Linked DNA regions of Cricetulus griseus. The protein of the gene in region 1 interacts with the protein of each later gene in a pairwise test. Links are inferred from orthologs where the notes say so. Each region holds a gene or a part of one and is shown in the gene's direction. Other genes may lie near its edges.

Region 1 (4,004 bases):
CTTTCTTATTCCCGCTTAAAACATGTTGTAAGAAATGGCGCCTACAGCGAGTGCACTCTTAGCTCCTCAAAGAAGAATATTACATAAAACTACCGATGGCCATCTGTGGACGTCAATTATCTTGGTATCTCTGCGTCAAGTGGCAGAGTCCCCTGCACCTGCTATGACCAATTTCCCTACGAGCCTGCACCCCTTGTATTCCTCACCCCTTGTACTCCCCTCCCCCAAGCCCCATTCCAAGCAGACCCCTTGCATATAACTTCCTCCTACAGCTCTCAGGATGGGGGTAAAGAATCGAACTTCACTCTTTCCCATAGTCTTCTCAGCATCACATTCTCGAATCTCTTCCCGTTTGCTTGTAAAACGCGGATGGGTAAGTTCTGCACCCCCTGCTAAAAGTTGCCTAAAATCGGTGTCTGGCCCAGGCACCGCCCGCCTCTCAGACAGAGCGAAGGCTGGCGGTTGAGGAGCTGTGATCCCTGGCTTATTTCTAAAGGCAAGCTCGCCTCCCGGAGCGGCGGAGGGAGGCCCCGCAGAGCGCGGTGTTCGCCCGGGGGCAGCTCCGTGAGCCCGGGCCACCACGGACGCTGCGCTGCGGCCTCCGTGCCTCGTTGGGGCGCGGCGTGGACGAGGCCAGTGGTGGCGGCGGCCCCCGGGGGATGGCGGCGGCCGGGCTCCGCCAGCAGGTGGCCCCCGGGTCCCGGCGGCGCCGCCCCTCCGCCGGCGCGGCCCCTCCTCCCGCGGGGGCGGTCAGCGCCCCGGCCGCCGCTCCGCACCCGCCGCTGCCGCCCGCTGCCGCTGCCGCCGCCGCCCTCCCTCGGCTAGCCGCGTCCCCCGGGCCGCGTCCGCAGGCTGAGCCCAGGCGGGCCGCGGCGAGCACCCTGCAGCTTCGCGCTCCCGCCCGGCCCCGCTCCCAGCGGAAAGTTGGGCTGCGGCGGGCGGCGTTCGGGAAAGAGCGAGGCGGCATGAGGGGACACCAAGGGGGCGCCTAAGACACCGAGAAGGCGGCGCCGCGCGAGGGGACAACTTCGCCCGGGAGCCCGCTCCCGCAGCCCCCGGCCGGGCTCGCGGTGGTTCCTCCCGTCCCTCGGCCTCCCCCGCCGATCGAGACGCGGACCTTGGTCCCGGCGGCTCCGCGGCGGTGCCACGAGCCCGCCTCAGCCGCCGCCTCAGTCTCCTGCCGCGCCGCCACCTTGCCCGCACCATGGAGTTCTCCGAGAGGAAAAGAAGCAGGAAATCCCAGAGCTTCAAACTGGTGAGCCGAGGTAAGCGGCCGGCCCGGGGACAGCGGCGGGAAGCCGGCGCCGCGCTCCGCGCACTCGGCCCCGCGCGCCCCGGCCGCCCGCGGGCTCCACGCCGGGGGCGCGCCCGCCACGACCCCCTCATCCCCGCCCGAACCTGGGGCCCCGCGGGCCGTACACGCCCCGCCGCGGGGAAAGTTGTGCCTGAGGGGACCCACAGGGTGTTATTGAAGGTAAACAAGTCGGAGGGCACGTCAGGAAATTAGCAAACAATGACACCGGGGAGCCGAGCCCTCTCGGGGGTGCCGCCGCCGTGGCCGCCGCTGGGCTGAGGTGGCTGACGGTTTGCCTGGCCGGCAGGCCGACCATATACTGAGATTTGTTTTTGTTTTCATTTTTCCACCCCGCAAAGAGAAGGGAGGGGGAAAAAGATGATCATTGTTCTTTCTAAGAAGAATCAGCTCATTAGGGATCCAAGCTGAAAACAGAAATTGTTGACATACAGCATCTTTTCTAGTTGAGTGGTTTGGGTGGAAAGGTGTTTTAAGACTAGATCGCCTACCAGTCAGCCAAAGTGTCATTACAAGAAAGAAAGAAAGAAAATCCCAGCTAGGTCCTGCCGACTAACAGGTGTACAGCACACTCTTTATGCTTTTTTTTTTTTTTTTTTTTGTCCGGGGAGGAGAAAGTTGAATAGTGTCTCCTGGGTTCTGTTACTTATTCGAACTGATCTTCCTGATCTGAGTCTTTTTTTAAAAAATGATGACAACTCAAGATAAGGAATACACCTGTCAAAATGTCTTGTGTCACCTTAATAAACGAAAGGGGTGACATCCCTCCACCCCCATGGTAATGTCACGGGCCCTAATACTTAGTTTCAATCCACCTTCTTTAAATATCTATGAATCAACTTGAGGTCAAAGCCAAATCACAGAACCTGTCCACTTTCCCTGAGTGATTTTTATCTAGCATTGGCATTAGAGTAGAGAACCACGTGATTGTTCCAAGGACCTGAGAATTCACGTGTAAACAAATGGATATTGGAGGGTGATTTCAAGCCATCAAGTTTCTCAAACTCAGCTAAGCTGAAAGAAGGATTCTATGAAGCCTACTTTTGGTTAGTCTGGAAATGGTTTAATTATAGACATTTTGAGGATCTGCTCATCTGTGTTTCCCCTAATTTAGTTTTGTACTGTTTAATGATAGAGGCCTGAAATAGTGTATGTATTCAAAATATTTGGCTCTTCTTTCTTGGTATACCCCACCCCACCAACAAGGATGTTGATTACTCGGTTTTTGTACTTTGTAAATCTCTCCATGTGTAATGGCCCTGTTGATACAATGTGCTCCATTCAGGACTAGGGGCTGCTTTTCTGTCTATGACCTCCGGGAACTGACTACTCTGTCTTAAAAGAGAGGGCAGTTTTGTCACATTGTCCTGTGAAAGCTTGGATAGTTGATGGAAAGAGACCTCTCTTTTCATACCCGAGTGATTCCACTTTGTAAAGTTACCAAAGTTCTGTAGCTTCCACAGGAAATTTTAAGATGTTGTATTTGAAAATCTGATATAGCAAGTTCTTCCTTCTTTTTTTTAAGATGAGTTTGATTCTGCTGTGCAGGTGCTTTTCAAAAAAATTTTTGAAGGAATGCTAAAACTATTTTGTGTTCAATAAAGTACAGTAGTTTAATGCAAAAGATTAACTTATGTGAAAGGTAAAAATCTTGTTTCTTTTCGAAGTATCCTCTTTTTTTTTTTTTAAATAACACATCAGTATCTTTTTGGAAAAAAATGTGCTTACTTTGAAGCTTAGATGCTCTGAGTAAACTGAGTCAAGAGGTAGTTTTGAAGCAAACTACTAGTGAGATGCTCTCAAAAATGGGCAGTGGAAATAAATTTGGGAGACTCCCCTGGCCCTCAAATCGGCAAGATTTTTCTTTTTCTTACAAATGTCTTTGCTGTCTCAGAGAAAAGAAACCTGATAATTGGTATCTGAGGGCAAACTTTACTGTGAAAACTAACCAAGCATAGCTGTCTGTAAAGTCAAAGTAATGTTTAAAGTTTGTGTACTTCACAGAGAGCCAAGTTTGAGTGGTTTCTGTTGACTACAATCTCTGTGAGAGTCTTGAAAATATACCTGTAAGTTACACATATAGAGAACGGGAGTCTTGAATTGCTTATTCCTCTTTCTTGAAATCATTAAAATTCTAATTTTCGGTTATTTTCTCGTGCCAGATTATCACCATGAGGTGTATAAGATCTCAGAATTCAGCAATGATGTTAATGGGGAGACCAAAGAGACACAACCCATTTTTTTAGGTAGGTTCCTATGTCAATTAATTTCTCAGCAAAACAGCATGGTGTGGCCATTTGCAATTTCAGGGGCAGGGTTGGGGGAAGAGATTGTGCAAGAAGGGGAAATGTCTGCCATCGCTTAATGTATGACATTCTTTTCATTCAAGACCTTTTATTTTACAGATTGCCAATATATCCCTTATTAACATTGCTAAAAGTTGTAATTTCAGACATAAATGTTTATTAGTGTCTACACACAGTGCTAATTATCACTCAGTCACAGAGCCAGATGCTGACTGCGCAGTTTTGTCGCTCGGTGCTCACCCCATTTACATTGCATATTCGCTGGCATGCTTCACTGGCAATAGTTTGTGTAATTGGGGTATTACATCTTTGACATCTGGATAACAGAAATTCAATTTCCAGGAAGCTGCTATTTGTTTGGTTTTGCTTCTGCCTTGGGTGGGATA
Region 2 (3,500 bases), on another chromosome or scaffold:
CAAAATTTCAGGTATGGATTTAAATGCTGTTCCCAAATTGAGGTGTGGCCCATCAGTGACCTGTCAGAGGCGACAACGGCTTTCTCTTTATATCTACAGAACTGGATGAGGAACAGCCTGAAAGTGCACAGTGATGCTATTCTGGAGCAGGTGTGGAACATCTTCTCTGAAGCGTCCAGCAGTGTGAGTCCACTCTGCCTTGCAATTACAGTCTGATAGACAACTGGGAATAATGGAATGGGGTGCTGTGTATGGTGGTTGAGATGGCATTTCCAGAGAGCCTCCATGCTCTCTCTTTGATGGGCAGGAATGAGGTAGGAGCACCTGGACAGTGTGCAGGACAGCATTCAGCCTTCAGCATTCAGCATGCTGGGCAGTGGGACAAGTTTTTGTAGAATGATTGGCACAGCGGTCGGGCTGGGTAAATGGGAGTGACCCAGGATTTGATGTCTGACTGACTGGACTCCACTGTGTTTGATCAATGTACAGCACCCATGTACATCCTGTTTGGGAACTATGTTCAGTGGTTTGAAAGCAGGAGTATGCACATTATTTAGCTTAGCCTTGGATCCTCAGTGTTCTAATCGAAAACATCTGTGCTACTATACACTTCTTAGTTATTCCTTACTTATTGTAGACCTCAAATATCTCGGAAGTGGATTGGTGCTGTGAGAGAAATTTAAGCAGGCCGAGGGCAACACATCTTTCAGCCAAGAGTGTGTGGGGCCCCAGACCACCTCCCTGCATGTTGTAGCTATACTGTGGGTATTTAATGGGTGGTCAGTCAGCCTGGGCCTGCTTCTGCTACAGGGAGAGCATTTGAACCATTAACCGACTATTGAAAGTAATTGGGTAGAGAGCCCCTAGGTGTGAACCATAGGAACAGAACTTGGCTTGCTGTTCTTCATACAAGTTGTTGGTTCTATTGTTAATTACAGCACCCATGTACATCCTGTTTGGGAACTATGTTCAGTGGTTTGAAAGCAGGAGTATGCTCTGACTGGTCTTGTGCAGCAAGTTATTTACATTAGCATTAAATTCTAAAATTCTAACCAGCAAGACTAGTATTGAATGTCCCCAAAGGCCCATGTGTTGAAGTCTCCTCGTCAGCTTCTGACACTATTGGGAGGTGTGGAGCTTTTAGCAAGTGAGGCCTGGTGGGAGGAAGTTAGGACATTGAGGACATGCCTTTGATGGGATGTTGAGACCTCAGCTCCTTGTTCGCTTTGCTTTCAGATTTATGACAAGCAAGTGGTTTACCTTGCTACTTCCCTGCCTGAGACCCACAGCTTTTCAGTCTTGGACAGGAACCTTCAAAATCATCAGCTAAATGTTTTCTAAGCTAGTCACCTCAGGTGTTCGTTATGGCAATGGGAAGCTGGCTAATATATTATAATAACTTACCAGAAGAAGACAGTCGTAGGGAAAGGGTAAAGGGTGTTTCCCATTCCTCCTCCTGGGTCTGTTTCTGCATTCACATTAAGCTTCTTTTCCCTGGGAGCCTTGTCAGCTTCTGAGAAATCCTCAACAGTTAGTCTGCTTCCCAGTGCTGCCCTCCCAGGGGACTGAGTTAGTACACCAGGTGAAGTCTGGTTTGCCTTCATTTTGGCATTGCAGAGAGGACTGGGTAACTTGTTCCATATCATTTGGTTGTGACCAAGGAGTGGAACTTGCTGTCATGCTTTTGAATGCCTCAACCCAGGCTGGTCAGCACCTAGGGCAGCCTTATCCCTCCCTCTGCAGAGGCCCACAACTTACAGGCAGTTCAGTGAACTGTTCTCCTATATCTTGAGAGATCAGCATAGTGGGAATATAGCAGAAAGGGGACTGTTAGCATGGAACCTGTTGCCCTTTCTTACTAGAGAAAGTCTGTTTCAGCCAGTGCATGCAGTGCCTTGGATTTCTGGGCTACACCAACCTCAGGCTGGGCTCTTTGTGAAGGAAAGAGGCTTGGCTGGCTCAAACTTTGGAGGTTGGAAGTCTAAGATGAGGTGGTTTCATCTGTTTAGCTTCTGGCAGACACAGGTAGTGCTGTGATGGGAGCCTTTTTGGAAGTGGTGACATGGTTGGCAGGAAGCTAACAAGGTGAGGGCAGCATTCCTGATGACCTAACTACCATAGGCCCTCTGTCTTGAGGTTCTGCCTCTTCTGGTTCCATCAAATCCGAAGCCATCCTGCAATGTCTGCCCCTGCAAGAGGCACTCAAACCCTAGCAGACTTTACTTCCCATTCTTTACACTGGTAGCTGTCTGTGACCATCCTAAGGATGGCCATCTCATCTGGAGAAGGATGATGTGACTGCCTTTGTCTGTGTTCCATTTACACAGCACTTACCAGCCTTGTGTCCACTGCACTACACACTGCATACCTTTCCTGTGTCTGCTGTACACGGAGGGTTACACATGCCCTGTCCTACAGATGAAGCAGACACAGCTCCCTAGCACTGTAGTTTTTTTTGTTTGTTTTTGTTTTTGTTTTTGTTTCTTTGCTCTTTGGGGCCCACTACCCAGCTCCCAAATAAACACCAGAGACTTACTATTTATAAATGCCTTGCCTTAGCTTGGCTTGTTTCTAGTCAGCTCTTCTTAAATTAGCCTGTCTACCCTTTGCCTTGGGCTTTTACCTTTTTCTATTTCTGTATGTCTTTTCTTTCTGTCTGTCTTTTCTTCTGTGTCTGTCTGTCTGGGTGGCTGAGTGGTTGGCTCCTTGTGTCCTCTTCTCTTCTCATTTCTCTTATTTATTCTCTTTCTGGCAGCCCCACCTATCCCTTTTCTGCCTTGCTTTTGGCCATCCAGGTCTTTATTAGATCAATCAGGTGTTTTAAGCAGGCAAAGCAACACAGCTTCACAGAGTTAAACAAATGCAACATAAAAGAATGCAACACATCTTTGCATCATTAAACAAATATTCCACAGCATAAACACATGTAACGCATCTTCAACTAGTGTTCCACAGTATGACATCCTGCATCTGGCTATTCTGTCTTCATCTAAATAAAGGGTGACAGTGAGCCAAAATTGCAGACTGGCTTCATTTCACCCTTTAATATCATGAAAACGGGTTCCAGATCAGGATGTGAGCTTTGGCGTGCTTTACTTGTATTGCTAAATTTTAGCTGTTGGTGTCACAGTCATAAATAGTACGGTATGGACAATAGGTGTGGCCAGACCAGATACTTAGATGATTCTTGTTTTTACTTCATAAGGAGCAAGATCAGCAGCCACCCAGCCATGTGGCTAAGTCATCTGCAGAGATCCCCACTAAGGTTCCATCTGCCCAAACAAATGGCACCACAGAAGAACAAGTAGAGGCAAAGAAGAATAAAAGAGAAAGGAAGGAAGAACGACAGAAGAATAGGAAGAAAGAGAAAAAAGAGCTGAAATCAGAAAACCTGAAGGTCCAAAAGACGAAGAAGCGCAAAAAGGGCCAGGAGGCTGGACATGAGGCTGGTGGGGAGGAGACCACCAAGGCCAACAGCCCACCAGAAAAGAAAAGGGCCC
Region 3 (4,032 bases), about 170 Mb from region 1:
CAGCACTTGTGAGACAGAGATCCTGTCTCCAAAACAACAACAAAAATGACTTTGCCTCCCCAGATGCCCCCAAACCACTTCAAATTATCTACCACTGTCCGTGCCCTCCCCGTACCCCTACTTTTCCTAACTCCCAATTTTTTTGCTTGGAATCATCTGTTGCCAACTTTCACTCCTACCCCTCCCTGGCATCTGTGGCCACCCCACACCTTGTCAAAGCCCCTTTCCTCCAGCTTCTTGCCCAGGACTTCACCAATCCCGGCCAGGCTCCCCACTGGCTTTTCCCCCATGGGCTCTGCCACGAAGTCACGGTGCTTTTGGGAGGTTGTCATCTTGATCAGGTTTAACCTGGGAATCCCAAAAAAAGGCAGGTTAGGGCTGAAGACCACAACTCCCAAGGGCAACCTCCTAGGTCAGCTATTGTGGCTGCTTCCTCGATTCCCCCTCATCTCACACCTGAGAAAATTGGGGGCCAGGGAAAGTCTTTCCCCCGCTATTACATCCTGAAATCTCCACTTTCTGTGGGCCCTGGGATTTGGTAATGAGCTTGCACTAACAAGTGGCGCACGTAGAGAAAGACTCACAGCCTCAGCAGCCAGGGCCCGCCCTGAAGCTGTCACTCTTGGTGACCTTGGCCAGGCAAACACTGACCCCGACCGGAGCTACCACGTGGTAGAAATAGCAGCAAAAAGAGGGGCTCGTTACCCTCGCCGCCCTCCACAGGCCAACAGGCGCCGCGCACCGGCTCCCGCAGCCCGCCGGAGCCCACGCCTCGCGGCTCCCAGGCCCCGCCCCGGACGCGCCGCCCCGCCTCCTCCACGCGCCGCGGCTCGCACGCGCCGCGGCTCCCACGCTCCGCGCACCGCCCCTCCCGCAAGGCCAGGCTGGTCCGCTGCAGAGACGCGCCTCAGCCACGGGCGCTCCTCTCCCTCCCGCCTCCGCCGCCTAGCCGGAGCCTTACTTCGCCGCTCACGCTCACCGGCAGCTCCGGCTCTCGTAACGGCTCCTCCCGCCACTCGGCAGCTCCAGCCGATACCTCAAGTTGCTAGAACGTTCTTCAACTTCCGCTTCCGGGTCGTGTCAGGAGCCGCCTTTAAAAAAAAAATACCCGAATTGGGCACGTCTAGCCACAGAGAGCCATAGAGTTGAGGCGCAACCGCTAACTGCGGAGCCCACAGAGGTCGCTGTTTTCCGGTCCCTCACAGGAAGCCGCGCTGCTTTCTATGGTCGTGTTTCTCCGGCCCCGCTTCCCATCTATGAGACCGAGGCCTCCGAGGAGAATACTGTTATCTTTTTCTTGCCCAGCACCTGGAACTTAAAGACTTAGGTGGCCTGACTTGGTCGAGGGAAGACTAAAGGAACGGACAAAGAAGGGGCGGGGCATCCGGAGGGCTACTGAGAGCCCCGGAAGTGCAATTCTCGCGGGTTCCTCAGAGTCAGGTCTATCTGAAGCCGGCTGACGGCAGCTGGGAACACCGGTGGTCTGAGGCCAGGCGTCCAAACCGGCGCGACCGTCGTGACCACCTGCCAGTCGCATTTCTTTGCTTTTGTTGACTCCGTCTTGAAGTGAGTCGTAGACGAGCTGCGTTCAGCGTCTACCTGGAAAACGTAGCTTGCTTGTGTAACGCCGAGCGGGTGAGTGCTGTGGGCGGCTCTTTTCTCGAAGGGTTTTTCGGCTTGAAGCGCTGCGGTGGTGGCCGAGTCAGTCTACACCATGAGTGTTAGGAGGACGAGCATCTGTTGTATGGCTGACCTACACTTGGGGGTGTTAAAGCATGTGGAGGAAAGTAGTTTACTCAAACTTCCCCAAAGACGTTGTCAGCCCGGGCGGTGGTGGCGTAAGCATTTAATCCCAGCACTCGGGAGGCAGATGTAGTCAGATCTCTGTGAGTTCGAGACCACCCTGGTCTACAAGAGCTAGTTCCAGGATAGGCTCCAAAGCTACACAGAGAAATCCTGTTTCGGAAAAAACAAACAAAAGGTTGTCAGAATGATCGGCCTGGGAGGTGCGTATGGTTTCATCGTCACGTCAGTACTTATTTACATTTTTTTTGTTAGTTATTGAGAGGATATCTCGCTACGTAGACCAGACTGGCCTCCATATGCTTTCGTCTACCTCTGTGGTTTGGGATTAGAGTCTTGAGATTTAAGGCTTGAGCCATCCCCCTTTCTTCCAAGTAAGACTATAAGACATGTTTCCTGGTTTCTTTTACTGTGTGTGGGTGTTACAGGTGTCCTTGGTGGCCAGAAGAGGGCATTGGATTCCCCTAGAATTGGAGTTAGAGATGGTTGTGAACCAACTGATGTGGGTGCTGGGTCCTGAGACATCTCTCCGGCCCTTAAACGTCATGTTTGCTTCATTTTTGAGACAGGGTTTCACTATGTAGACCAGGCTGACCTAGAACGCAACAAATATCTGCATGCCTCTGCATACCAAGTGCTAGGAATAAAGGCATACACCAGCATCTGGCTAAACACGTGCCTTGTTTTTTAGTGATTTTTTTTTTTATGTTTATCAGTGTTTTTACCTGCATGTATGTCTCAAAATGAGGGTGTTGGAGGTAGGGTCAGTTGTAGCTTCTGTGAGTGCTGGGAACCATACCTAGATTCTCTACAAGAGCAGCAAGTCGCCAGTCCTGTAAAGCTCTTGTTTTTAACAGGGCAAGGTGGCACTTCTCTTATAAGGCTGCTTCTCCTGAGAGCAGTCCTGGCTTCTAAGACTGCCATCCACATAACTCTGGAAGAGCTGACGTTGTCTGCGTCCTAACAACCCTGGACAGAACCCAGCATGTCTCAGGCCACCAAGAGAAAACACGTGGTGCAGGAGGTGCTGGGAGAGCACATGGTGCCCTCAGACCAACAGCAGATAGTGAAGGTGAGAGCATGGGTCTCAGCTTTTCTCTACGCCCACCGGACCCCTGGGATGTGGGAAGGGCTCAGTGCAGGTCAGTGTGTGCTTGATCTAACTGGTGATGTGCCTAATTCTTGATCTTTCCTGCACCAGGTCCTGAGGACTCCCGGCAACAATCTGCATGAGGTAGAGACGGCACAAGGGCAGCGCTTCCTGGTGAGCATGCCCTCCAAATACCGAAAGAACATCTGGATCAAAAGAGGTTAGAGGCATCCCTGTACAGTACAGAACCATGACCTTGATTCTTGATTTTCTCCTTCACATGGGAATGCCTTTATCTTTTGTCACTTACAGGGGACTTCCTCATTGTTGACCCTATTGAAGAGGGAGAGAAAGTGAAGGCTGAGATATCTTTTGTGCTCTGCAAGAACCATGTCCGTTCTCTGCAGAAGGAGGGCCACTGGTAGGATAATTTCTAGCTTCTAGGTGTGGTAACATCTTAGCTATGGAATGGGGTAGGGGTGGTGAGGTTATGCCATCCCAAGAGGACATTTGGAAACAGCTATTTTGCTAAAAGGTTTCTCTTCACTCTCTGACCTGGATCTTCTCTTTGTCACAGGCCTGAGGCCTTCTCTGAGGTAGCTGAGAAACAAAACAGTATGAACAGGTGAGGAGCAAGCCCCAGCCCAGGGAAGACAAAAATACAATTTCATACCTTGGTGCCTCAAGGAGAAAGGTGATCCTGCTTTTCTGTTGAGAACTCTAACATACACAGTAGAGTGGATAGTTATGGGTATAGCTTAAAGGCCAAGTTAAAATACTGGCTTTGCTACTAAATAGGCAAGTGACTTTAGGTACAGTATTTAATATCTTCACACCACTGGGTGTGGTAGTATATACCTGTAATTCCGGCAATTACAAGGTGGAAGCAGGGGTTTGAACCAGCATTGTGTACATGAATCAGGTTCAAAGCCAGCCTGATGGATATCTGTGAGTTCGAGACCAGCCTGGTCTACAAGAGCTAGTTCCAGGACAGCCTCCAAATTGAGACAGAGAAACGTTGTTTTGAAAAACCCCCCAAAAAGAAAGGAAACCCCCCCCAAAAAAAGCCAGCCTGAGCTACATGAAATCTTTTCTCAAAAACAAGAGTTTACCTAAGAGACAGGATTATGCAAAGTAAA
Region 4 (3,500 bases), on another chromosome or scaffold:
AGTAGAACCTGAAGTGGTAGGAGAAAGTGATTCAGAAGTAGAAGGAGATGCCTGGCGCATGGAACGAGAAGATAGCAGCGAAGAAGAAGAGGAAGAAATTGATGATGAGGTAAAAGGAATAATATGGAATTCTTTCCCCCAGGATACAAGAAAAAAATTGAGAACAGTGCTGATTTGTTGAGGCTATAAATGTACAAAATTTGCTACTTCTGTCTGAACTCTGATTGTGATTCCTGTTTGTTGGGGTTGAAACTGAAAATGAGGCCAGGCAGTGGTGGCACACACCTTTAACCCCCAGTACTAATGAGGCAGAGGCAGGCAGATCTCTTTGACCATGATGAATAAGCCTTTCAAACAAATGTCCATTCAGAGACACTTTTCTGTGAATTCGAGACCAGCCTGGTCTATAAGAGCTAGTTCCAGGACAGCCTCCAAAGCCACAGAGAAACCTTGTCTCGAAAAAGCAAATAAATAAATTAATTAATTAAGTAAGTAAGTAAAAATAAAGACTGAAGATGAAATCATGCTGAATTATGCTTAACCGTGTCAAAATTTCTTGAACCTGTTGAAGACAAAATCAAAGCTATGCTGAGGGCTCAGTAGTAGGACTAGACTTGCTATGCACAAAGCCCTGAATTTGGTCATTATCACCAAGAAAACAAGCTTGACGCACAGGCCATTTGAATAACTGGCTAAGCTGTATGCCTTGATATAGGAAATAGAGCGGCGCCGTGGCATGATGCGTCAGCGAGCACAGGAGAGGAAAAATGAAGAGATGGAAGTCATGGAATTAGAAGATGAAGGGCGCTCTGGGGAGGAGTCGGAGTCAGAGTCTGAATATGAGGAGTACACAGACAGTGAAGATGAAATGGAGCCTCGACTTAAGCCTGTCTTCATTAGAAAGTAAGTGTCTGCCACACCTGCTAAGCCAGGCTGTGTTCCCAGCCACTCAGTAGACTGAGGTAAGAGGATTGCTAGTTCAAGGCCACTCTGAGCTACAAAATTAGCTAATTCTCACAAAGGAGACTAGGGATATTGGTCAGTGATAAATGCTTGCTTAGTATGCACAAGGGCCTAGGTTCAATCCCCAGCAGAGGAAAAGGGAACAATTAGTCAAACCAGGACAGAATCAGGCTGGAGATATGGCTCAGAGGTTAAGTGCACTGGCTGCTCTTCCAGAGGTCCTGAGTTCAATTCCCAGCAACCACAAGGTGGTTTACAACCATCTGTAATGAGATCCGATGCCCTCCTCTGGCCTGCAGGGATACATGCAGGCAGAACACTGTATACATAATAAATAATAAATTTTTTAAAAAAGGACAGAATCCACATGATTAAGTTCCAGTCTGACAATAAAAGGTTCTGAATCCCACTTTTTCCTGTAAAGGAAGTCTTCTTTCCAGTGCCCTATCCCTATAGCAAAAGTGCTGAGAAGAAGCCAGATGTTTGCAGATCTGCAACAAAAGGTGTTGTTTTTAACCAAGTCTCTATCGTTCTATTTTATCAGTAAAGACTTGGGAGCCAGATGCTGGAGTGAAAACCCACTTGCTCAGAGAGGCAGAGAAAGCACCCAGCTGCTTCCTTCTCTGTTTTTCCCCTATCCTGTCTGAAACAAAAATTCCTCCAACTGGATGTCCCTCCCTTCTACTTCTTGTGCCTTTCTCTCCAACCTCCCAACTTTCCCTCACTCTCTATGGTTACTTCCAGTCAACTAGTTGCTTGTTCTTGACCTATGGTTGATTTTATTTAAATAACACAATCTCATGGTTCATGGTGTGATCACATAATCCTGAAACATAAAGGTAATCCGGGTGTGTCTATGTTTGTGTTTTGAGATGCTCTGGCTATGCTGCCTGATTCACTGTGAGGCCTAGACTGTCTCAGACTTGTGATCCTCTTGCCTCAGAATCTTAAGTGCTGGGCTTACAAAATCAATTTTTGTTGAGGTTTTGTTTTTGATTTAGTGATACTAGAGATGAAGCCCATGCATATGCTAGGAAAGTGCTTTAACACATTGCCAGGGAAAATCATGTTTTAAACACAAAATTAAGCTTATAAAACAAATTTCTTTATTTCCTAATGCTTAGGAATCCTATTTTACAGTCAGCCCAATAGGATTCTTGTTAAATCCTATTGGAGTCAGTGATAAATGATTAAGGGAAGTTTGATGCTGTAAAGACCTGAGATGAAGCTAGCTTAATCTCCAGTTCCCATATGGTGAAGGAGAAAAGCAATTCCCAAAAGTCCTCTGAGCTTCACCATCATGTACACATACCATACATTCCTATACATAGTACACTCAAAATATTAATATGGAGAGATGGCTCAGAGATTAATAGTTCTGTTAGGCAGTGGTGGCGCACGCCTGTAATCCCAGCACTTGGGAGGCAGAGGCAGGTGGATCTCTATGAGTTTAAGGCCAGCCTGGTCTACAGAGTGAGTTCCAGGATAGCCATAGAAACTTTGTCTCGAAAAAAGAGAGATTAATAGTTCTTGCTGCTCTTCTAAAAGACCTGGGTTCAATATCCAAGAGCCATACAGTGACTCATAACTGTATGTGACTCCAATTTCATGGGTTTCAGAACCAGAAGAGGTTCTGGCCTCTATGGATATCAGGCAGATAACTCAGTATACAGACATGCATGTAGACAAGGCATCCAAACACATGTTTTTTGTGTTTTGGGTTTTTTTTTTTTTGTTTTTTTGGTTTTTTGGTTTTTTTTTGGGGGGGGACGTGGTTTCAAGACAGCTTCTGTGTGTAACAGTCCTTACTGTCCTGTAATTTGCTTTGTAGACCAGGCTGGCCTCAAACTCACTGAGATCCACCTGTCTCTGCCTCCTAAGTGCAGATTAAAGGTGTACATGAAATTTTTTAAAGTTTTTTTTTTTTTTTTTTGTATGGGAGAGGGTAATTGAGACAGGGTTTTCTCTATGTAGTCCTAGCTGTCCTGGAACATGTATCATAGACCAGGATAGCCTCATAGTTTTTTGTGGTTTTTTTTTTTTTTTTGGTTTTTCGAGACAGGGTTTCTCTGTGTAGCTTTGGAGTCTACTCTGGAGACCGGGCTGGCCTGGAACTCACAGAGATCCGCCTGCCTCTGCCTCCCAAGTGCTGGGATTAAAGGCGTGTGCCACCACTGCCCTGCTATTTTTTTTTTTGTAATAATGATAATAAAATAAAACAGCAGAAGATACGACTAAGTAGTAAAGCATTTGCCTCTTGTATCAAATCCAGGGTTCAAATCCTATTACCAGAAGAGGGAAAAAAAGTCATGCTGTATTTAGGGATAGAAATAAAGCTCAGGGGGCTGGAGAGATGGCTCAGAGGTTAAGAGCACTGGCTGCTCTTCCAGAGATCCTGAGTTCTATTCCCAGCAACCACATGGTGACACACAACCATTTGTAATTCTACCTGGTGTCCTCTTCTGGCCTGGGCAGAACACTGTATACATAATAAATAAATTAAAAAGAAAAAGAAATAACAGCTCAGTTGGTAGATT
Region 5 (4,288 bases), on another chromosome or scaffold:
GGCTTCCTTCAGCTCAGGCTGCTCGCACGCTGCTGGGGTAAGTTGTCTGGAGCCAGGACCAAGAGAGACATCCCCCGGACGGCAGTTGCCTAAAAGAAGGACACCTGTGGCTCGCATGCAGTCCACACTGGTACTTGGCGGATCCTGGAGGACCTCATTATTTTAAACTTAAAAAAAAAAAAAATAGAGATCCACCCCCCCTTTTTTTTTCAAACAATGTTTCTTTTTGACCTTTCCCAAGGAGAAGCGCTACCAAGCAGCCTCTGTGCTCACTGAACACCCTCCCCTGTATCGCTTAATTGAGAAGGTAAGTAAGAGGCTGTGTACACACGCGTCGGCTTATTTGTGCTGTGTGTGTCTCCGGGTGCGCGCGTGCGTGTGCGGATGTTGGGTGGTTTTCTTCTTCTTCTTCTTCTTCCCTATCCTCTCCCAATGAAGCATAAAGTAAAGCTGCACGCGAACCATCACCACCACCACCACCACCGCTGCAACTTTACTGGCTGCAGGTCTGCAGAGACGATTTCTGTTTGTTTGTTTTGTTTAAATCGTGGGAGGCATCATTATTTTGTATGATGAGACACAAAATAGATGCGGGGCGGAAGATGAGGATGCCTGAGGAAGAGGGGGAGCGTGCGGCTACAGCGTGACATCTCAAGTAGGAGTCCAGAGCATAATAGACAAAGTTCACTGGGAGCTGCGGCATCCAGACACCCTATTCCGGAAGAGGGGTTGAGACAGTTTGCAAAGGTGTTTTTTTTTTTTTGGGGGGGGGGTAATGCTTCCAGACTAAGGGAAGTGGTGTCAGTCTCGGGTGTTTTCTCAGCCCTCTCCATGCCTGATTGGTGAAATCCGTGCCCTCCCCAAAGAAAGAGTTGAAATTACAACCTTGTTCTTGCCCACACCCCTGCTTCTACCCAAGGCAGCTCTAATAACAAAACACTGCTTCTGTGTGTTGCAAAAGTGACTATGTTGGACCATGCAAAGAGGAGACAAGTGTCCAGTAGAGGCAGGTTCCTTGGATTCAAGTGCCTGCATCCTAACAGGTCTAGAGATTCAGCACATTCTAATCGGGGCTACTCAGATTGCTGTTATGAAACGCAAGTCAGATTTATGATCTTTTTCATACCGAACACGATATGCTATGCTAACACTGCGTGTGACGGTTTAATCAAATCCATTTGTTACCAGGAAGCTAAAAGGGGCCGCTGGGATTTTAGGATTACGGGCAGAGTTAGGGAAGCATGTGGCTTTGTCATTCGCCATCATTTTACACGTTCCCTTGTCCCTTCCCCCACCGCCTGCCTCCCTCACCACTAGACCCTAGCTCCCAAAGTGGCCTCACAATAGTGGATCCTCGGCCCTGTACGCTGCTCACCAGATCCACGCTTGGGCCCCAAATCCAAAAGTGACTCCCCTCTTCTACTTCCTGCCTGTGGGCTTGGTGCTCCATGCGAAGCTGCAGCGGCTCAGGCACGCCTAAGACAACTCATGCAGAAACAGGAGAAAAGTTTTGGTAAGGTTACAGTCTTTCATAGATGCACTTTCTCGGGGCGCTCGGCACTCGTGGCTAGCTCCAAAGCCTGCCAGTTCTTCTGTTGCTGAAGACACGAAATATTATTGTGTCTACTGCTTTTAAAGACTGCTGCTTTCCACCAATTAATCTCGCTAGGTGCCATAAATACTGGTACATTCTTTGCAAAACCATTCCTGTGTTGCTGCAAAGACACAGCCACAAAAGGTTGGATCATAAACTCCGCAAGGGGATTCTTTGTTAGAGTGTATGTATGTTTCTTATTTTTTTTTTATTTTGCATGTGAGCTGCATCAAAATTGAACCCAGTCTTGCAAATCTCTTGTTGGCCTTTGCCAAGCACTAGCACTTTGCTGCCATGGTAACTGTAATTAAACTGATAAGAGTGGGGAAATGTCAGTATCTCTGAGCCTTGCAGCTGCATTGGAGAAAAAGGGAATCAAATTGGTTCCCAGCTCCATTGCTCAAAAAGGGGAGGGTGGTGGAAGGACACGGAGGGGGGTTGGGAGTTGAAGGGGCAGAACAGAGTTAAGCAGCTCTAGTGCCAGAGATTTGGGGACATCTATTTGCATTGTTTTCCCTTAGGGGGCTGCAGCCTGTAGGGGTGCTCTGGGCCAGTGAACAGAGAGAAACAAGCTTTTAGGCCCAATCCAGTTTTCCAATCTGGGTTGGGGGGAGTGACTGGGAGTGGGATGAAGATGGGCAGGAGGAGAGAAAATCTTTTGTTTGGTACTCTTGGCAATCGAAAGGCTGTGTTGGCCAAATTCTTTTAATCTATGTCATTGCTCCCAGCTGCGAAACCTGCAGTCCCAATTTTAGCATCCTCTCTTCCAAAAGCCCTTCTGACAGAGCCCCTTCTCCTTTTCCCCAAATTGTCCTCTGTAAATCTTCTGAAAGGGAAAGAATGTTTCCCATTCATTCTGTGTGATCAGTCCAAATAATACATTGGTGTAAAAAGAGAGAGAGAGAGAGAGAGAGAGAGAGAGAGAGAGAGAGAGAGAGAAGGAAAGAAAGAAAAAACACTGTGCCTAAGTGCTGCGCATCTTTCATTATTGTGATTATTTTTTAAGCCCCTGTGTGTTGTGGAGTTGTGGTTACTTTGTTGTGTTAACTACTGAAGCTAAGACTGTGCGGATGAATGACACAGAACAAGGGAACATAATGGATGCAATCAACCGTCAGGCCTTCTCACAATGCAATCCAGGCAATTAAAAGCTCACCAGAGTTTAAATGAAACGGTTCTACTTATTTCTGCACAGCACACTGCACAGGCTATTATTTATGTCTTTTTTGAAAATTATGATTTCCCTTAAACTGTCAAATAACTCAGAATGGCAGGGTCTCAGAGGCAATAAGAATTTCCCTCAGAACAATTTGCATGCCAATCTAAAACTAGTTATGAGTGCTGATGGGCTGTGAGCAACTTGTGAAGTGTCTCTTAGCCACGAACACATAACTCTCCCCAGACGTACTCTCTTGGATCAAGAGCAGAGACTGCTCAGTGCTTTCTGCTTTTTAGGTGCTTGGCACCGTGGTGACGACCAAGTGATTGTTTGCCTACATTTTTTTTAAATGCATAGAATGGAACAGATTCCATTTGCAAGAGAAAAGGGGTTAGTGTTCTTTAAAAGAAGATATGAGGATGGAATAGAAAATATCAAACTTCTTTTATACACAAGGCCAAACAGAATGAAAGAGTTTCAGTTATTAATTGGCCTCTGGGTGCTACATTAAAATGTCAACACAACAAAAACGCTTTGTGAAGACAAGCAGTATAATATTCCTTGTGCCAAATGTTGGTATCTGCTGTCTTGGTTACAATTTATTTTGAATAAAGATAGCTGAACCTTTACACTTAATAATAATGTCACAAACATTGGAAATAATGGAGCTTAGCTTCCTAAGAAGAATTCCTTTTTCATCTTTTAGGTGTGTGATATAAAAAACACAGACTTCAAATTAGATAATTAGGACGGTTACCTTTAGCATACCTCTGTATGCTTTCAGTCATGAAATCCGGACTTCCTTAGTAAATCAGAATCCCCCTTTTCCCCCAAGTATATGACTAAGAGGCACCTGGGCCTGTTGTGCACTGTAATTAATGGGACTCATGCCTGTGGGACCTTGCTAGCAAAGGATAACTAGTTCTGATCAAAGAAACTTCATTTGTTAGAAGTTCTAGAGAGTGAGATTTAGCAGAGCTATCAAGGGTTATGATTAATCTACACTAGGCCCTTAGCTCCTTCAAAGAAAAGGAGCAGAAAGCAGGCTACAGGGGTACCACCTGCTCTTCAGCACAAATCTGCTGCTGGTCCACAGCTCAGAGCACTACAGCCATGCCTGTCAGGCACACAGAACAGCCACCCTGCTTTCTTCCCTGCATTCCCTCCTCTGCTGCTCTACCACACAAGTTGTTCTCCGATGAAAGCTCAGGAACATTCTAATATTATGTGTAGTTCATGTGACATTGGTAGCTGGGAAACTCATTTGGCTGTGGGCATACGTTCATGCCCCTTACCAATGTGATTTTCTTTTACAGGCAGAGGAGGTAATGAGGGCTGAACCCTTCATCACACGGTATCAGAAGGAAGGAGAGAGTTTACTTATCTTGAGGAGAAATGAATCATAAATGCTTCATTTTCCATTCTGAAACCCTCTTAAATGCATTCATATTTGGTGCTTCATATCTTTGTCTATCTAAGTTTAAAACTTTATGCCTAGGAGAGGAAACAGTGTTAATGGGTGGTCTGTGGATTGC
Region 6 (4,121 bases), on another chromosome or scaffold:
CAGAATTGTGGTTCTGGGTCCACACAGAGCTTTTTTCCATCTTTTAGCTCCTGTTCAATAAAGTTCTTGTAGCGCTCAGGATCATTTTCAGCCAAATCGTCGAGCATATTCCAGAACTGGGAAATCTGGGTGAGAAGGCCCTTTGAGGATGCCCTCATGATTGGTGATGAGATAGGCCTCCAGAACCTGTGGAAAGACACGACTTGAGAAAATACATGTCTGTGTGGCTATGGCCTTACTTCCTCTTTCAGGAGAGGAGGGGGCTTTTGTTTTGGGGAAGCTCTTTACTGTTCTTACTTCCTATGTCTAAAAGATTGTGTAACCACTCTGCTTTACCTTGGCTCTTCTACAGCCTGTAAGTCTAACCACTTCCTAAATTCCCACCTTGTACCTGTACCTCTCTCTGGCCTTCACAAACACAGTGGGAACAGAAAGGTCTTTTTAAGTCTTGTTTTTCCTATTGATATTGTTCCAATAGTTGAATATTGGCTGACTTGGTGTCTCCCAGCCCTGAAATTATGAGTGGTGTGTGTGTATGTATGTGTGTAAGAGGGAGAGGGGAGGGAGAAAGAAAGAAACAGAGGCACATTAGTCCTTAGTATAATAACTAAAAGTAGGAACACTGAGCTGGGCAGTGGTGCATACCTTTAATGCCAGCACTCTGGAGGCAGAGGCAGGTGGATCTATGTACGTTCGAGGCCAGACTGGTATACAGAGCAAGTTCCAGGACAGGAAGGGTTACATATTGAGACCTTGTCTCAAAAAAACTGGGAGTGGGGGGTGTGAGGTGTAGGGTCACTGGAGCCAGTATGCTTAAGTTCTTCCTAACTACAGGCAGCTATATTGCATTGAGCAAATAATGTATATATATACACCTATTCTTCTCAAAATGAAGACGAGGCCTAAGAACGCCAATACTTAAAGCGGGAACACTTGATAAATATTATGTACGAGTAGTATTCTAAGATCGTATCATCACTCTCCTCCCGCAACGGAGAAGTGTCCCAAACGGTCCACAAAAATATTTAAAAAAGAGATTTAGAGTCTTTAAATCGTGCATTAAGATTAGATTTAATAAACAAAGAATACACAACTTATCCCAGTGTGGGGAAACCCACCTCTTCAGTCAGTGTCTAGACAAACCGCGACTCCCGTTACCATGGTAACCAGGTCCGGTACAGCATCTAACTGTGTCCGGGGAGTGCAAAGTAGAACGCCGGCTCCATATCCCGTTCCGGATCTTTTCTCCAGCGCCGGACTGGCTCCTCAGAGGGGCCGTCCCGCTCCCTCTCAGGAGGGTGCCGGCTTCCTTCCTGCACCTGTCAGCTTCCCCGGAGACCCGTGAGCCCGCTCACAGGGAGTCTCCCGTGGGGAGGAAGCGTTTCTCGGGGGCACGACTTCCGGCCCGGAAGGAAGCCGCCGCCTTTTCTCCCACCCCGCCACGCGAAGCTGCGGCGCACGGTATGGGTGTGTTTGTGTGTGTTTGTGTGGGGAGGGCGTTTCGAGGGAAGGCTGCCGGGAGCGCCGAGGCCGCGGCGGGGCAGGGAGCCCGCTGACAGACATGGGGGTGTTTTTTCCGACTTCCCCTTGGAAACCTCCAGCTTCCCCTCAGGCACCCTAGACACTTCCCGGGTCCCAACGGAAGGCCACGTCCATGCCCTGTGTCCCCATTCTGTCCCGGGAGTGAAACCGAGCCGCCGGGCGCTGTCCCAGCCCAGCGAGAGCGGGGAATGCCCGGGCCCGCCCGCAGGCCGCGTTCCGCGCCTGCGCCCGCTCTGGCCTTGGTCCCGGAGAGAGAGCCGCCTGGCGGGCTCGGCTGGGGGAAGGCAGCCGTAGCCTGGGCCTCGGGTGAGGGCACTGTAACCGGTGGGAAGGCTGCGTTTTCACGAAGGACTCGGGTGAAGCTGCAGAGCTGCCTTTCAGCCCTGACTCCTTGGCTTCCTGGGTCGGAGGAGATCTTGTAATGGAGTGGTTCTTCGTCTCACACTAACAAGATGCCTGATTTCCTCAGGATCGAGGGGTGAGTGAGCATCCGGACGGTGGCACCAAGCCCCTCGTAGCTACACATGTGAATATCTTTGTCTTCTGGGTTTCGGAAAGTTCCAAACATTGTAGGAAACAAAATGTCCTGAATAGAGATATTTAGGTCATTAATTTTTTTTTTTTTAGAACTCAGTATTTATTGCTGTTGACATATGTGATGTTGATACCCGCAGATCTAGATGTTTGCTTAGTTGCAAACTGATTTTGGGGAGTTTGAGATTTGATTTCTAACTTGGATACTGATATACATCCTTTGCCTGGGTCTATTCGCCCTGGGGCCGAGGGACTTAAAGGATCTTGACTTTCAAAATAGGAGTGGGGATAGAGTCTAAATTCGGGAATCCCTACAGGTTCAAATAACAGCCAACTGAAAATGTTTGGGTAATCAGATTGCATCTGTACTTATCATGTACAGACCTTTTCCCCCCTTTGTCATTATTTCTGATCTGCATAGTAACATTTTTACATAAGAGTTGCATAGTTTTAGGTGTTAATAAGTAAGCTAGATACCCTACCCACCCTAAGTGTGGAAGTGCATGTATGTTGTCTCTGAATGTGGGAGGTGGAGGCAAGAGGATCAGGAGGATCAAGGCTCACTGAGGCTAGGGGAGACCCTGTCTCAATAAAAAGTCATAATTTAAAACACACAGGAGTGTAGTTTATATGCAAATACTATGGTATTCTAAACGAGAGACGGGTACCCTAGGATTATTGTGTGTGTGTGTGTGTGTGTGTGTGTGTGTGTGTGTGTGCATGTATATGTTACTGGGGGACTGAATCCAGGATGGCTCTTGTGCTTAGGGAAATGCTCTTAGCATTGAACTATATCCCCAGCCCACACTTGGATTTTGTTAACTTTAGGGGCCCTAGAACCAATCCCCCCCATGGATCTTGAGGGACTACTTGACTCTTAAAACATAGAAAATTGTGAGGACTAAATAAAATGGTGCTCATAGGAGCAATTTTTGTGCAGCCTTCTGCAATTTTAAGGACTTTTTACTGTACATATCCTCTTCATACTTAACGTTCACTGAAGCCTTTAATGCTGAAAGGAAAATTCTCCCCTATGTTCTGTGTCTTCTAAGTTCAGTGATTCCCCCCTTTCCTTTTGTTTCTTTATAATTTAATAAAAATAAATTTATTACATACTATTGATTCATTTCAGATTAAAGAATGTCTCGGATTCCACTGGGGAAAGTCCTCCTGAGGAATGTCATCCGGCATACAGATGCTCACAATAAGGTAGGCAGTACAATCTAGTCACTTATCAATATCTCTTGAGGGCATACAGTAAACTATGACTTATGTTGGGAGAGAGCAAAGATGTATAAGAAGCAATCATAGTTTGAAATGTACTATATCATGAAGATAGTTACAAAATGTTTTAGAGCACTAAGGAAGGAATAAAGAAATCTGCCTTGGGAAATTAGAAAGATTTCACTGAATAAATGGTATTTGAGTTGCTGATATTTGAACTGATTCTTGATGAATAAAGTTTATTGGATGCATTGTTTTTGACTGAGATCACCATGCACTAATACAAGGCAAAATATCAGGGGTTGGTGATGTATTTTATTGGTAATGCCTCATATATGCAAAGTCCTTCATTCCATGCCCACCCCTCAAGCATTAATCACTCAGGGAAAGAAATTATATGCATCTAGAAAACATAAGATACAGGAATAGTGACCGAAGATAAGGCCCAAGTCTCACATTAGAGTTGTTTTTATGAGATTTAAGAGGTAAACTTTCTCTTTGGGTCAGTAAAGAAGTCATCATGGAGGAGTGGAACCATACATGTGTCATACCTGTAAGTGTTGTTTTACACCATGAGAGCATGAGGTTGTATGATTGCCATACGTTCAAAGACAAAAATGTATGATTAGACAGATGATTTTGTCATTGTGGTAGGAAATAGAAGGTGGAGAGAAGTACTGGGGAGGATGATTAGGTGACTGACGTGCTAGGTGAGTGGTGCTGAGGTTTGGATGGAAGCATAGCAGGGGCAAAGAGGTACTCAATAGGATGTGACAAGAGTAGAGTCCAGAATACCATCTTCTGTGACTGGATAGGTAGTA
Region 7 (4,272 bases), on another chromosome or scaffold:
TAAACTCTTATCTGTCAACACGTTGTCATTCACAATTCATCCGTGCAATTAAAAACTCCAATTAGGGCTGGAGAGATGGCTCAGAGATTAAAAGTACTGGCTGCTCTTCCACAGGTCCTGAGTTCAATTCCCAGCAACCACATGGTGGCTCATAACCATCTGCAATGGTGTGCAAGTATACATGCAGGCAGAACACTGTATAAGTAATAAATAAAATCTTGAAAAACAAAGCAAAACAAAAAAAACAACTCCAATTAGCAACAGGGTGGTGGTGATGGCTCATGCCTTTAATCCCAGCACTCAGGAGGCAGAGGCAGGCGGATCTCTGTGAGCTCGAGGCCAGCCTAGTCTACAGAGCAAGTTCCAGGACAGGCTCCAAAGCAATACAGAGAAACCCTGTCTGGAAAAACCAAAAAGCAATTAGTGACCTGGAGTAGACTCTGATACCACCAGGCTCAGGGCATGTGGCAGTTACACATTTGAAAAAAAACTGGTCCCCTCTTCGACCAGTGCAAGGTGTATGTCTAGAGAAAGAACTATGTCGAAGGAGATATTTGTAACTGAGACCCTAGCTGGAAGTATCTGTGTCATCAATAAATGACGCCACCCCCACCCCCATGGTACCCACCTCACCCCGTTTGGCCTCTTCCTTAAGTTCTGCACCTCTCGGGTTTCTTCAAGTTTTAACCTGGGGGGAAATGAATAAAAAGCAATGCACAGGCTGAGAGATCCTCTGCGGAACTCAAAGCTTAACTCAGTTCCGGGGACATCCGTGTCTCTCGGCCGAGTCCCTGGCACTGTGGATCACCGGCAGTCAGACCCATGCGACCCCGGAGCACCTTTCCGAGCTTCGGGACCGGGGAAATGTGGCCTTATCAGCAGGAGCCTCTGAAAGACAACAACCCTGGCTCCCGGTCAGTGGTGTCAGCGCAGTGCCGGCCGGTAGCCAGTCCCAAGGCTGTTTCCCTCTTCCTGGGCCGTGGAGGTCATGCCAAACACGTACCGAACCTCCTCTGATTCCTGCTCATCTTCCTCCGACTCCGAGTCAGCCCGCCGCCGGCGGAAAGTCTTCCCAGTGATCCGCATAGCGGCACCAGATCTTAGGAGCGGCGTTACCTGCCGCGTAGTGCCGGGAACCTCTTTCTCTTCCGGCGCGCAGAAGTGTCGTCAGAGGGCCGGCTGCATGCAGACCCGCCTCCGGGTGTCCAGGCCGCGCCCCAGCAGCATAGCCACCAGCTCCCAACTCCAAAAAGCAAGGGCAGGTACAGCCGCGTGGCCACGCCCCAGCGCCGAGACTGTGCCCTCCACCAGCAAGACAGTCTTCGAACCACGTGGCCACGCCCCAGCAGCACGGCCACTCCCCCTACTCCCAGCATGCATGGGCACTCAGTACTCGCACGGCCACGCCCCCAGCACGCACGGTCCCGCCCCCTAGTAGGCAGCGCCATGTGACCCCGCCCCGTCCTTGGCATAGGCTCTCTCGATTGGACAGCTGACGGTAGGGAGGCGGGGCACGACAGGCAGAGCCACAAGACTCTGCGCGGCGTCGCGGTGGGCGCGCTTGACTGACAGGCGGCGCGGTTGCGACGGCAGGTGAGTTCCGGACGGCTGATGCCTGGTGCGGTGGGCTGGGCCGCTAGAGCAGGGACGATCGCGCCGCCGCTGCGAACTGGGGAGGCCTGGCTTTGCGGGGCAGCCGCGATCTGGGGAGAGGTCCCCGCCGCCCACCCTCCCATCGACCGGCTCCTGTGTCCGCCCCAAGTCCCCACGGCCCTGGCTTCTCCTGAGCAGGCCGCACGTCGCTCGGAAGGCCAGCGCGAGGCCACTCGGGCTCTGGGCCTCAGATGTGCAAATTTATTTCTCACGGACAAAAGCTGAGCGCCTTGGCGGGGGTGAATATCAGTCCCGATACCAACTCCCCCGTACCAGGGTGGTCTGCTGCTACTGGTCCCTAGGAGGGATGCCACTGACGTTCAGAGGCCTCTCCAAGGGTGTGAAGCCGGGGACTGCCCTTCGAGAGCTCGGGGTGTCTCCTTTGGCCTGGAGGACTCGCTCTGTCCTACACACCTTCCACCGCCAAGATGTTGCGAGAGTAGTTAGCTTTCAAAGGTATCCATAAACACTTAGGAGATGGATAAGTGCATGCGTAATGGCTCACATGGGACTTATAGGGACTCCTTAATTACTAGTTTCCTCTGGAGCAAAGCACTTCTTAACTGTGGCAGGGCTAAGCATTCTCTCCTAAAAGTCTCCGGTCTAATCTCACGAAGTAGATGCAGTTGGGTCTGTCTTCCAACTGAGGAAGTTAGAGAAGGCTGAGGCTTAGAGAAGTAACCTGTGCTTCAAGTTACACAGCTGGGAAGGGGAGCTCAGGTGGGGGCATAGTTTTCCCAGCTGTGGGATTTGCATCAGGGACAGCGGGCCTCTATGGCATTCCAGTTCATGGGCTGGGGCGGGGGGGGGGGGCGGGAGACTGATGGAGACTTTTTTCTGGAAAACTATTCTAAAGCAGGGAGGCATGTCTGCCATGCTTTGGCTTTTCTCCAGAACAATTTTCTCTGAGGTTGTCGTTCCTCTTAAACTAGGACAAAGAAGACTGGGATGTCTTGAAACAGCTTTTTTGCATTAATGAAAAATACATTAAGTATCGAAGTCTTGACCTCCCAGCAAGGCTGTTTCAGCCATTGTTAAATGTGTATGGCACTCACTGGACGCCATGTCTCTGTTGGCTGAAAAAGAGATTCCGTGGGAACTGCTGCACAAACCCAGGGAATTGGATTACAACTCTCACAGGCTCAGGGGTGTTTTTGTTTTTTAGATGTGTTCTGCCTACATGTATTCCTGCAGGTCAGAAGAGGGCACCAGATTTCATTACAGATAGTTGTGAGCCATCATGTGGTTGCTGGGAATTGAACCCAGGACCTCTGGAAGACCAGCTAGTGTTCTTAATCACAGAGCCATCTCTCCAGCTCCAGAGGTAGTTCTTAATTTCCCTGCCTGGCCATGCCCTGCCCCGTATCCCCTAGGGTACTGGGCCATGCTGGTACTGGCAAGGAAAGAGTCAGATGGTCGGGAGCATTTTCATACAGTCCTTATTTGAAGACAGAGAGGGACATCTGATACAAAGCCACCCTCGTCCTTGAAGCCGGAGTGCCAGGTGACATCCAATTCCTGGGCTGTGGCAGATGGAGTTGATTCTTGTTTAATTCAAGTGCTGATTAGAGTGTGGCAGCCAGAAATTGACCTAGGTGCCTGGGTGGAGAGACTTCAGCTCCTGTGAGTCATGTTCTTAAAAGTGAGACTGCTTCTGAGAGGGAACCTTCAGGAAAGTGAGGGGTTTTCCTCTTCTAGTTCAAAGATGAGTCTCCAGTTTTAGTTTGGCTTGGACGTTGGGAATGGTGTGGATTTCTCTGTGGAGCTACATGGATGCCCAAGGAGCAGTCATATCTCGATGGTCCCTGCCATAGTAAGCATTCAAGAAATGCTTGTTTGAGCCAGGTGGTGGAGGTGGACACCTTTGATCCCAGTACTCAGGGCAGAGGCAGGCAACCTGGTCTACAGAGAAATTTCCTGGACAGCCAGGACTACACAGAGAAACCCTGTCTCAAAAAAACCAAAAGATGAAGAAAAGGAAAGAAAAGAGAAAGAAAAAAAACTTGTTTGAAGGGGACTGGGGATGCGGCTCAGTTGGTAGAATTCTTGCCTAATGTGCATATGATGCACCCTGGGTCCAACCTCCAGCATATAAACCTGGCAAACTGTTTCATGCCTGTAGTCCCAACCCTTGGTTGGGTCAGAAGTTCAGGGTCATACTCAGCTACATAGAGAGTTGAGGCTAGCTGACTTAAGTCTGGCCCACATTTGACTATCTCAACGTTAAGAAGTCATCTTGGAGCCGGGCGTTGGTGGTGCACGCCTTTAATCCCAGCACTCGGGAGGCAGAGGCAGGCGGATCTCTGTGAGTTCGAGACCAGCCTGGTCTACAAGAGCTAGTTCCAGGACAGCCTCCAACCAAAGCCACAGAGAAACCCTGTCTCGAAAAACCAAAAAAAAAAAAAAAAAAAAAAAAAAAAAAAAAAAAAAAAGAAGTCATCTTGGAAAAAAAAAGTGAGGTGTAGTGACACACTCCTTTAATCCCACCACTTGGGAGGCAGAGGCAGATGGATTTCTGAGTTTGAGGCCAGCTTGGTCCACTGAGTGAGTTCTAGGCTAGCCAGGCTACCTCCTTGCTCCTTCCTTCCAAGCCGCTCCTGAGCCGTCCTCCAGAGAGCA

What was found.
Region 2: the proteins of Bend7 (region 1) and Lyar interact in binary tests that used the Homo sapiens proteins (3 or more experiments, as listed by UniProt). The two-hybrid records come from large-scale screens. The link is inferred for Cricetulus griseus from reciprocal best matches to the Homo sapiens genes BEND7 and LYAR.
Region 3: the proteins of Bend7 (region 1) and Eif1ad interact in binary tests that used the Homo sapiens proteins (3 or more experiments, as listed by UniProt). The two-hybrid records come from large-scale screens. The link is inferred for Cricetulus griseus from reciprocal best matches to the Homo sapiens genes BEND7 and EIF1AD.
Region 4: the proteins of Bend7 (region 1) and Mfap1 interact in binary tests that used the Homo sapiens proteins (3 or more experiments, as listed by UniProt). The two-hybrid records come from large-scale screens. The link is inferred for Cricetulus griseus from reciprocal best matches to the Homo sapiens genes BEND7 and MFAP1.
Region 5: the proteins of Bend7 (region 1) and Lmo3 interact in binary tests that used the Homo sapiens proteins (3 or more experiments, as listed by UniProt). The two-hybrid records come from large-scale screens. The link is inferred for Cricetulus griseus from reciprocal best matches to the Homo sapiens genes BEND7 and LMO3.
Region 6: the proteins of Bend7 (region 1) and Nkapd1 interact in binary tests that used the Homo sapiens proteins (3 or more experiments, as listed by UniProt). The two-hybrid records come from large-scale screens. The link is inferred for Cricetulus griseus from reciprocal best matches to the Homo sapiens genes BEND7 and NKAPD1.
Region 7: the proteins of Bend7 (region 1) and Usp20 interact in binary tests that used the Homo sapiens proteins (3 or more experiments, as listed by UniProt). The two-hybrid records come from large-scale screens. The link is inferred for Cricetulus griseus from reciprocal best matches to the Homo sapiens genes BEND7 and USP20.

The regions. Positions count from the first base shown.
Region 1 is NC_048596.1:221,924,520-221,928,523, forward strand, and holds the start of Bend7 (BEN domain-containing protein 7), read left to right. Parts: upstream 1-1,204; coding exon 1,205-1,265; intron 1,266-3,474; coding exon 3,475-3,558; intron 3,559-4,004.
Region 2 is NW_023276807.1:107,180,002-107,183,501, forward strand, and holds part of Lyar (cell growth-regulating nucleolar protein), read left to right. Parts: coding exon 1-11; intron 12-99; coding exon 100-183; intron 184-3,205; coding exon 3,206-3,500. UniProt on the Homo sapiens protein: Plays a role in the maintenance of the appropriate processing of 47S/45S pre-rRNA to 32S/30S pre-rRNAs and their subsequent processing to produce 18S and 28S rRNAs. Also acts at the level of transcription regulation.
Region 3 is NC_048596.1:53,963,713-53,967,744, reverse strand, and holds the start of Eif1ad (probable RNA-binding protein EIF1AD), read left to right. Parts: upstream 1-1,232; 5' UTR 1,233-1,635; intron 1,636-2,058; 5' UTR 2,059-2,177; intron 2,178-2,660; 5' UTR 2,661-2,788; coding exon 2,789-2,875; intron 2,876-3,004; coding exon 3,005-3,113; intron 3,114-3,205; coding exon 3,206-3,314; intron 3,315-3,470; coding exon 3,471-3,518; intron 3,519-4,032. Other genes in the region: Banf1 (barrier-to-autointegration factor), read right to left, coding at 210-332.
Region 4 is NC_048599.1:56,944,767-56,948,266, forward strand, and holds part of Mfap1 (microfibrillar-associated protein 1), read left to right. Parts: coding exon 1-109; intron 110-715; coding exon 716-903; intron 904-3,500. UniProt on the Homo sapiens protein: Involved in pre-mRNA splicing as a component of the spliceosome.
Region 5 is NC_048601.1:10,636,125-10,640,412, forward strand, and holds the start of Lmo3 (LIM domain only protein 3), read left to right. Parts: upstream 1-1,488; coding exon 1,489-1,513; intron 1,514-4,288.
Region 6 is NC_048597.1:162,382,226-162,386,346, reverse strand, and holds the start of Nkapd1 (uncharacterized protein NKAPD1), read left to right. Parts: upstream 1-1,321; 5' UTR 1,322-1,461; intron 1,462-1,532; exon of another isoform or gene 1,533-2,020; intron 2,021-3,208; 5' UTR 3,209-3,216; coding exon 3,217-3,285; intron 3,286-4,121. Other genes in the region: Pih1d2 (PIH1 domain-containing protein 2), read right to left, coding at 1-158.
Region 7 is NC_048599.1:142,696,758-142,701,029, forward strand, and holds the start of Usp20 (ubiquitin carboxyl-terminal hydrolase 20), read left to right. Parts: upstream 1-1,472; 5' UTR 1,473-1,593; intron 1,594-1,897; exon of another isoform or gene 1,898-2,109; intron 2,110-4,272. Other genes in the region: CUNH9orf78 (telomere length and silencing protein 1 homolog), read right to left, coding at 629-688, 1,004-1,086.